Neurospora crassa OR74A: one gene and its partner. The protein of the gene in region 1 interacts with the protein of each later gene in a biochemical or structural test. Links are inferred from orthologs where the notes say so. Each region holds a gene or a part of one and is shown in the gene's direction. Other genes may lie near its edges. The genes, in order: nrc-1 and NCU08067.

The links.
Region 2: the proteins of nrc-1 (region 1) and NCU08067 form a complex in vitro, tested with the Saccharomyces cerevisiae proteins (2 studies listed by BioGRID). The link is inferred for Neurospora crassa OR74A from reciprocal best matches to the Saccharomyces cerevisiae genes STE11 and SHO1.

What each region holds. Positions count from the first base shown.
Region 1 is NC_026503.1:1,802,991-1,807,253, forward strand, and holds the start of nrc-1 (MAPKK kinase), read left to right. Parts: upstream 1-1,200; 5' UTR 1,201-2,210; coding exon 2,211-2,630; intron 2,631-2,698; coding exon 2,699-4,263. UniProt on the Saccharomyces cerevisiae protein: Serine/threonine protein kinase required for cell-type-specific transcription and signal transduction in yeast. It is thought that it phosphorylates the STE7 protein kinase which itself, phosphorylates the FUS3 and or KSS1 kinases.
Region 2 is NC_026501.1:156,762-161,069, forward strand, and holds the start of NCU08067 (osmosensor protein), read left to right. Parts: upstream 1-1,275; 5' UTR 1,276-2,517; coding exon 2,518-2,667; intron 2,668-2,745; coding exon 2,746-3,054; intron 3,055-3,115; coding exon 3,116-3,625; 3' UTR 3,626-4,308. UniProt on the Saccharomyces cerevisiae protein: Plasma membrane osmosensor that activates the high osmolarity glycerol (HOG) MAPK signaling pathway in response to high osmolarity.

The sequences.
Region 1 (4,263 bases):
CCTGGGGTCGCTCAGACTTCTCGATAAAGGAAACCCTGGGACGGAGGGTTACGCGACAGCATCAAGGAAATGAATGGGGGCTTTTCGGCGGTATACTAACATGTTGCCCCGTGCTGTTCAGTCGCATCTTTCCACCGCCCCTTCCCGCCCATAGTGTGTGTAGTTCCAGCAGAATTAGATTGTGGCCTGCAAAAAGCGAGATACGGGTCGATAATCGACGCCGTGGCTGGAACGAAGACGCAACAAAGAAAAGGACTCAAAGCTTCCATGCAGACCAGTGTGCTGAGTTTGGTGGTGGCAATGGAACGTTAAGTTGGGTTGGGGCGGTTATCTGCGTGCGAAGGCGTGGAGGTTGCCCAGACATGCTGCCGGAACCACGGCTCTCTTGAATATGCCTAACTACATACACTATCACCTATCCACATGGCTAGGTGACGTTTCAGGCCGATTTTTCGGTCCCTAGTGCCGATCTTCCACTTTGCTGTTCACTTCTTGTCGTTGTTGTCGTTGTCGTTGTTGCCGGGTGTTGTTTGACTTTTATTTGCGCCTCTTCATGCCGGTCCCGATGCACCAACAACAGACAAGAACAGTCTCTTGAGTTGGGGAACGATGGCTCGACGAATTGTTGGCCTGGTATCTACACTACCACTATCCACGGCGTTGTGACACTTGGGGCGCAGAAGTTGGATGCCATCATTTCCAAATACGACATCGTCTTTTTCGGTTCCCGAGCGATGTGAGAGGTGGAGCCAAAGAAGCGTTGTTTCAAGGGGCGCCTGCAATGATTAGCGGCTTGGCGGCTTGGCGGCGGATGATTCTGCAGGCTGTCCAATCCGCCGCTAGCGTTAGAGCCCCCGCCTTCTCTTTACAGACACTTGCACAAGTCTTGCAGGGTAAGTAGTCGCAGTCCCGTCCAGGCCGCATTCAACGCATTCAACGCCGCGGTTTCCTCTCTTCAGCAGCCCGCTAGAGAGGGAAGGTGCAGCAAAAGACGCTATCGTCCCAATCCAGGCCCAGGGCAGTCAGGCCCCCGGCTGTCCCTGCCCCCGCGGCGGCCACTTCCATCGTGACAACAACCTACACAAGTGGAAAGAGCGACTCCATGCCCACTGAAGCGAGCTCCTCCTCCGTCCTCCATCTTCCTTCTCCATTTGTCGAGTTGTCGGGCTAACTTTTTCTTCGTCTCTCTTTCCATTCGCTCCGCAGTCGGCATTGAGGGGTTTTTCTTGCCGTGGTCTCTTCGTTGTGCGTAAAGAATTTGCGCACTTTGCGTGTTGTCTCTCTCTCTCCTCCAGCAGCGCTCACATTCCACCCCGGACAAGTCAACCAAATTTTGGATCATCGCGGGCAGCGCACAGGGCACCGCTGCAGATAGTACACAGCAGGCATTGCACAGGCTTCCCAAGCCGGGCACCTTCAACTAGGTACACTACTTACTAGTTCTACTTGCATTGACATCCATCACTACTTCACTACATATTATTTCGGCTGGGTGCTTTGATGTCCATTCTCTTGTTGTGTGCGAGTTTCAAGAGACAATAAAGAGGGTTGCTATCATTGTCGCAGACAGCCCGTTGCGCGCTTCCAGGTCCCCTCCCCTCCGCTTCCCTCCCTCCCCCAAGGAGAGACAGTGTTAGGTAGCGGGCCGGGCGGCTTTGTGGTTAGTACCGTTAGTCTCCTCGTTGGCTGTCAGTGTCACGAATAAGGAGATTCCAACAACACACCTCTAACCAAGGGCCCCTTGCTCCCTCTCCACGTCGTCTTTCTTGCCGAGCCTGCTTCATATCCAAGCGTGTGACCACCAACACACGTTCACCACGCACCAGCTCCAGGCATTACCGCACCTTGTTGAGCTTGTTGGGCCCGACGCCAGACAATTCTTTCGGTCGCTTCATCCACTTCCACATATACCGGACGACGGGCAAGCCACTGATTGCCGGACAGCGGTCAGCCCATCTTTGCCTTGGCTTTTTGGATTAGCATCGGCAGTCTGTGCGCCTACATATTCACCATCGCCGTTCCCTGCAGAAAGCAGCAGTAGCAGCAACAACCGCCGCCTTTGCTTCTGCTTCTGCTTCTGCTTCCATCGATCCCCCCTCCCCCCCAACCGCTCTGCACGCGCAAAACATTCGACGTCGTCTCGCCACCACCAGAAAATACACCTAACAGCCCATGTCATCATTACTTCCAAGCTGACCGTCGCTTCAACCATGGCCATGCTGGCATCCAAGTCGCCCTATACGCCTTCGCTGGGTTCCCAGTCGTCCACCATGATGGCGAGCACACCACAAACCGCCTACAATCCTTCGCGAAGAGCGCCTGCAGTCTCTCATGCGACCAACCAGAACTATGCGAGTCCTACCGAATCCGAATTTTCCGAACTTGACGGGCCCGAATCGGTCAAGAACTGGAACGAGGACAGGGTGTGCGAATATCTCAGGAGCGTAAAATGCGGCGACTACGAAAGGATATTCCGCAAAAATAACATAAATGGCGAGGCGCTTTTGGAGATTGACAAGGAGGTCCTCAAAGAGATGGGAATCGAAAAGGTTGGAGATCGCGTCCGCTTGTTTCTGAGCATCAAGAAACTCCGGACACAGACCTATGCGAACCAGAGAAAGAGAGACAGGGTCAGTTTGGCTATTCAGGTGTCCGGGCTTGCCACTTTGACTTGGCTTAACGGCTAATGCTTCTCTAGGAATCCTTTGCTGTACTTGATAACCAGTATTCAGCGACTTCTTTACGAGTGCCCATCACAAATCGGTCAGCGGCAACGTCCGCTCCTCGGCGCTATGACCGCCAGTACGAACTCACCCCCAATGCCGACATGTCGAAACCTTCCTCGCGGCCGACCTCGCCGCTACCTAGTTCTGACTACAACAGACAAGCCCGGCGAGGCTATGTGCAACAACAGGGCTATGGCAATCAACCTACACAAGCTGCTCCCTCGCGGTTCCCCATGTCTCCTCCTGAGTCCCACCCCGGCCGATTGGTACAAGCCCACACTAGGAACAACTCCAGCATGGATGGTTCGCTGATGGCTGCGCTGCCACAGGGTCAGGATGTCATTCGCGTCATCTCCACAGGTGGCGTAACCAAGGTTGTTAAGATTGCCGACTGCAACACCTGTGAAGAGGTTATGCGTGTTACCCTACGTAAGTTTGGCCTGCGGGAGGACCATGAAAGGAATTACTGTTTCTGGGTACTGGCCGGCGTTGATCCGGACCCAAACCAATGCCGCCGCCTCGGGGATACGGAGCTGTGGAGAGTCATCAAGGACCACACTCGCCCAGAGCGCAACCGCCTGATTCTCAGGCGTGTTCCTTCTGGAGAGCCGGGCAAGGCAGAACTCGAAAGAGCAGCTGCCATTGCGATGGAGGAAGCACAGCAAACACATAGGCCTCCAATTGAGCCCAGCGATAAGCGGAGTCAGCTGAAGCTGCAAAAGGTGCTGGGAGTGGGCTGGGAAGACCTCCAACAACAGCCTCCGCTGTCTCCCATGTCCTATCAGGACCGAGAAAGAAACGTCTCAAACGCTGCTAGGGATCTAGAGCGGCCAGCACCTCTGGAAACCCCCAGGGCCATGCCTCGCCGTACACAAGCACTTCGTCAGTTCGGTGGGCTGAGACCGCCTAGCGAGCTTATCGCCTCGGATCTTACGAGCTACTTTCCAGATCACTCTCGTGAAGCTATTGACAGGACGGCCCGTTTGTCCATGAGACGCTCGGCACGTCTGAGTAGAGTGAACCATCGTCTGAGTGTTGCCAGCACCCTTAGCTTTGCCTCTAGCATACAAGACGCTCCGCCGATCCCTACCATCGCAGACAGCTGGTTGACCGCTTCCAACCAGATTGCCAAGGTACGCCCGCGTGATGTGCTGCCAAGGGCGCCTCACGGGTATAGAGATTCTGTGGCTTCATCCGTGCTTGATACGCTACAAGAAGAAGGCTCCCCAACCGAGCCTAACCGGAGATCATTCGTTCCATTTTCGGACAGCGGCTCGGATACAGCTGCAGTTAGCGTCATTGATCCCGATGGTAACATAGTCAGACACAGTTACTACGACAGCGGCACCAACAACTCGGCCGATTCCGCGGTAATACAGGAAGCACTTGCTGAAGATGGCGAGGATGCAGCTGACAAGGAGCTTCAAACTTTTCTGGCGGGCGACGCTTGGGACGACAGTATGTGGATGAAGGGTTCTCTTATCGGCCAGGGTTCATTTGGCTCCGTGTACCTCGCCCTACATGCCATCACTGGTGA
Region 2 (4,308 bases), on another chromosome or scaffold:
TTGGCACATTCGTACGAGAACAATGCTAGTGACCAAGGGAATGGGGCAGATGTCATTGCGCGGCAGATATCACGCGACAGATGCGCGGGAGTCGGGCGTCATCTTTGGCCCACTGGAATGTTCAGCCGATATCAACACTCTGCTCGCCGTTAGCACCGACAAAAACCAGATCGACGGTGCTGTGGTAGCGCTCTATCTGGAATGAGAATTCACGGGAGAGGCTTTTTACAAACGTCACAAACACGCTTGATAGCCGGCAGTGATTGTTTGGCTCCTGCAGATGGGATTCCGAAACGAACGGCGTTGCCCTAGAACTCACGCGGCGAGCCTAAAGCCCCTGCCTGCATGCTGCATGGGTGTGGATTCGTGGCATGGTGAATCCGTCTCTCTGTTGACATTTTCTGCCCGTCACCGAGCTCAGCTGAGTGATGTCGCATGGTAGCCAGCTCTCAGCCTATCATTTACAGTCGGTCACGATGTTTCTGGACGACCTAGCAATGAGTGAATGGAGCACAGACGCAAGCCACATGGCTAGCTGCCTGACTGACTTCCGAGTGTTACAATGTTGTGAATGTTTGAGACTTTTTGACTATGAGTTTGAACAGTGTCGAGGTAAGATATATCAAGATGGAAGAAGAAAACAAGAATAAAAATAAAGATGTCCTGGCCATGACCCAGTACCCTAGAGCCATCATTCACTTTGAACAGGTTAATCACCCAAGCAGAGTCTACCTCTAGGTAGGTATGACTCCCCATCAATCACCACCATCAGCTACAAAGACTGTCAAAAAGTGCAGAAAAAGAAATCGAGCTGCTACAGTAGCCCGCCCTGTGTCTGTGTACCTCTAATTTGCTCCATGCTCCCGTCCCCACACAGCCGCTAGAGGTACAGTAGGTAAGCAGCGCCTGGAATGTCTTGGCCTAACGATTTGCAGTGAGATTGAGGACCGTGCCTCTTCTGACTGGACATTGCATTCATTAGCCCAGCAAATGCAATAATGCGATTGGCTCGTTCGCAGTGTTGCCGCGTGTTGCCCGGACATTGTACCTATGTCACTGCAAGGGAAGGATTCATTCATTGTGCAGCGAGCAGCCGCCAGGCAACGCACTCCAGGAGTCCAGAGCCTCCACAGCGGACATGGCTCCCCCCCATCTTCAGTGGATTCAGTGGGCTCCATTGTTGGTCCCTTCCTCACTTCTCTTGCGCGGTCTCGTCCACTCGTTTCCACAGCAGCAGCCACCTCATCCCCCCCCGGTTGCTGCCCGCCCCGGAGTCCCTCAGCCAGGCCCCGTCGTTGGCCTTCCATTCCGGATCTCCCACCACCACCCAGCCGTCGTCACCCACACCCACACACACACCATTTCCCTTTTCACGTCCCCGTCCGTCCGTCCTGCCCGTGCGATCCCCTCATTTCTGTTCGTTCCCTCCTTCAATTTTTCTTCCCTTTCACTTCTCCATTGGCCGGCGTTGATCATCGCCCCAGCCACGTCCAACAACAATTTGCTCAATCCATCAATCGCTCCCTTCGTTCCCTCAACCTCATCAACCTCGACGACGACGACGACGACGACGACGACGACAGCATACGATTGTCCGACCCTGAGCTGAGCTGAGCCCTTTATTAACGCGAACCGGAACAAGACGGGGGGATAGTACAATACGACGTTGGCAGGTACCGAGATATCACACCCGACTACCGTCATACACCGGACAAACAAAGAAAAAGGGAAACAAAAGAAGAAAGAAAACAGGAAAAAGGAATCCAGGACCATTTCCAGACTTCCAGTGGACTCTTCTACCGCCCTTCTTCCAACTACCGATTGATCTTGCGTGTTTACCGTATCTACCCATACCGTACCGCCGCCGCCATTCGTTCCAACGGACAACTACCGTACCGTCACATCTCCCGACCCGTGCGACCGACTCGTTGCTTATTTCCCCTGAAGATTCAAAGGCTCTGTCCTCGTCTTGAGTGTCCTTGGAGTACCCGACGGCCACTTCCCTTGGACTCAGCCTCCTCTTTGCGGATTGCCAACCAACAAACACCCGACGGAGCAGCCCGACAGCGACCACCCAATCTTTCAATAACATTGCAACTGTCCTACCTTCGACTCATTTCCATACATCGCCCAATTACTACCTACCCATATTTGCAACGACCGAGACGAGCCATACCGCGTTGCTGGACACCGAATTCCTCGCTCAACGTCTTGCAGCAAACGACAATTGCTACCCGACCCGAATTTCTTGCTTCGACTTCGACCACTTGTCGCCGTCGAACTTCCTCTCTTTTTTTTTTCGTGACATTGCATCTGTCATTGCAGAACAAACACATCGCATTACCAACCGCGGACTGGTCCCCGGAATACGACACACACACGGCCCCTCGCCGTCATCTTATACCCCAAGTGAAGGTGTGCGTCAACTAAAGTGTCCCACACACGTCGGTCCATCACTTATAACACGGACCTCGAATATCCCGAGAGGACGCTCTTCCTTGGCGACCTTCGCCCTTGATGCAATCGTACGGAGGATCGGTTAACTATCCCCCGTCCTTCAACAACCCCAAAATGGAACACGGCAGGAACTCGTACCGCCGAAAAGGCATAGACATGGGCAACATTATTGGTGACCCATTTGCTCTGGCCACTACTTCTATTGCTACTGTGAGTTTCCATACGCGCGCGCGCTGGCGTCCACCCTTTTCCCGTCCTGTCGCCTTCACGAACTGACAATCACCACAGCTGTCATGGATCATCATCCTGTTTGGATCCATCTTTGGCTTTAGGGACCAAAATGACGGATCGAATGGGGCTCCCGTCATTGTTTGGCCAACCTACAGCTGGTTCACCCTCGTCTTCAACTTCTTCCTCATTCTCGGCATTTTCATCGTCATCGCCTCGGACAGCGCTCAGACCTACCATGTCGCCATCGTTGGCTACCTGGCCGTCGGGCTGGTCGGCTCCACGTCGTCGATCAACAACCTGATTTACAGTGGCGTTGCGTCCATGGAGGCGACAGCGGCTGGGTATATCTTGTTGTCCATGGTGACGGTATGCGGTTCCCCGCTAACTTCCCCCAGCTGGCTGACCCCATTTGCTAACGTCCCGCCAGATCATCTGGATATTCTACTTTGGCTCCGCCCCATCGGCTGTTCCCCGTGCCTACATCGACTCCTTTGCGCTGACCAAGGAATCCACCCTCCCTGCGCATCACATGAGCCGCCAAACCATGAACCACAACGGTCTCTCCTCTCCCAATGCTTACGGCTCCTACAACATGCGCCCTGAAACCTCGGCCTCGGGCCTCCAGCCTCCGCAAATGTACACGGGTCAGCTCAACGGGCTCGAAAACCCCGCTCGCCAGTCGCAGATTCCCCAGGGTTTCTCGTCCAACAACATCCCCAAGCCGCAAGGAGAAGGGGAGATCGTTCCGCCGACGGAGTACCCGTACAGGGCCAAGGCGATATTCAGCTATGAGGCCAACCCGGACGATGCCAACGAGATTAGTTTCTCCAAGCATGAGGTGCTGGAGATTAGCGACGTGAGCGGGCGGTGGTGGCAGGCACGGAAGGAGAATGGAGAAACGGGTATTGCGCCGAGCAATTACTTGATTTTGCTATGAGCGGGCTTGAATGGGTCGGGGATGGAGTTGAGGTTTTTCTTCGTCTTTTTGAAAAGAGAGGATTTGGCGTGTGAACCGCCAGTACAAAACAAAATCATGAAGTGGTTTTTTTTCTTTTATCTATCTTTCTTTTGAGTCGGCGTTTTATACCCACATTAACGTTACACTTTCTTCTCGACCACCCACGGGACTCGTAATGCGACACACCAAAAACCGTGGCTCGTTTGGAAACGAAGGCGAAACCGGATGTTGGATGCGGACGGGGCAAGGTTTGGGTGGAAATGGAGTTTTTTTTCCCTTTTTTCTTGCAATGTCATTTTTCTATCTTCTCTTACCCTTTTTCTCAATGTCTTTCCTTTCTCGTGTTACACTAGTTCTTGTATCAACTTTACATGTCTTCTATTTTGCGTTCGGCAGCTACGGCAGAGGATAGGCCGCTACTGGAGAATGGCAATGGAAGAGGGAACAGGACAAAAAAGCGGGGGAAGATGGAAATGGGTGCTGTTTTTACGAATTTCATGCATGGCGAGGAACGGAGAGAAGATGGACGGACGGATGGAGGCTGTGAACCCAAAAGGAGATGTACCCACAAGCAGCAATTGAACATCCAGCGGCCGGAGTTGGGGATGTTGGAACTACCTACCTGTAGAGAATGAAGACACAGTCCGCTTGATCATGATATC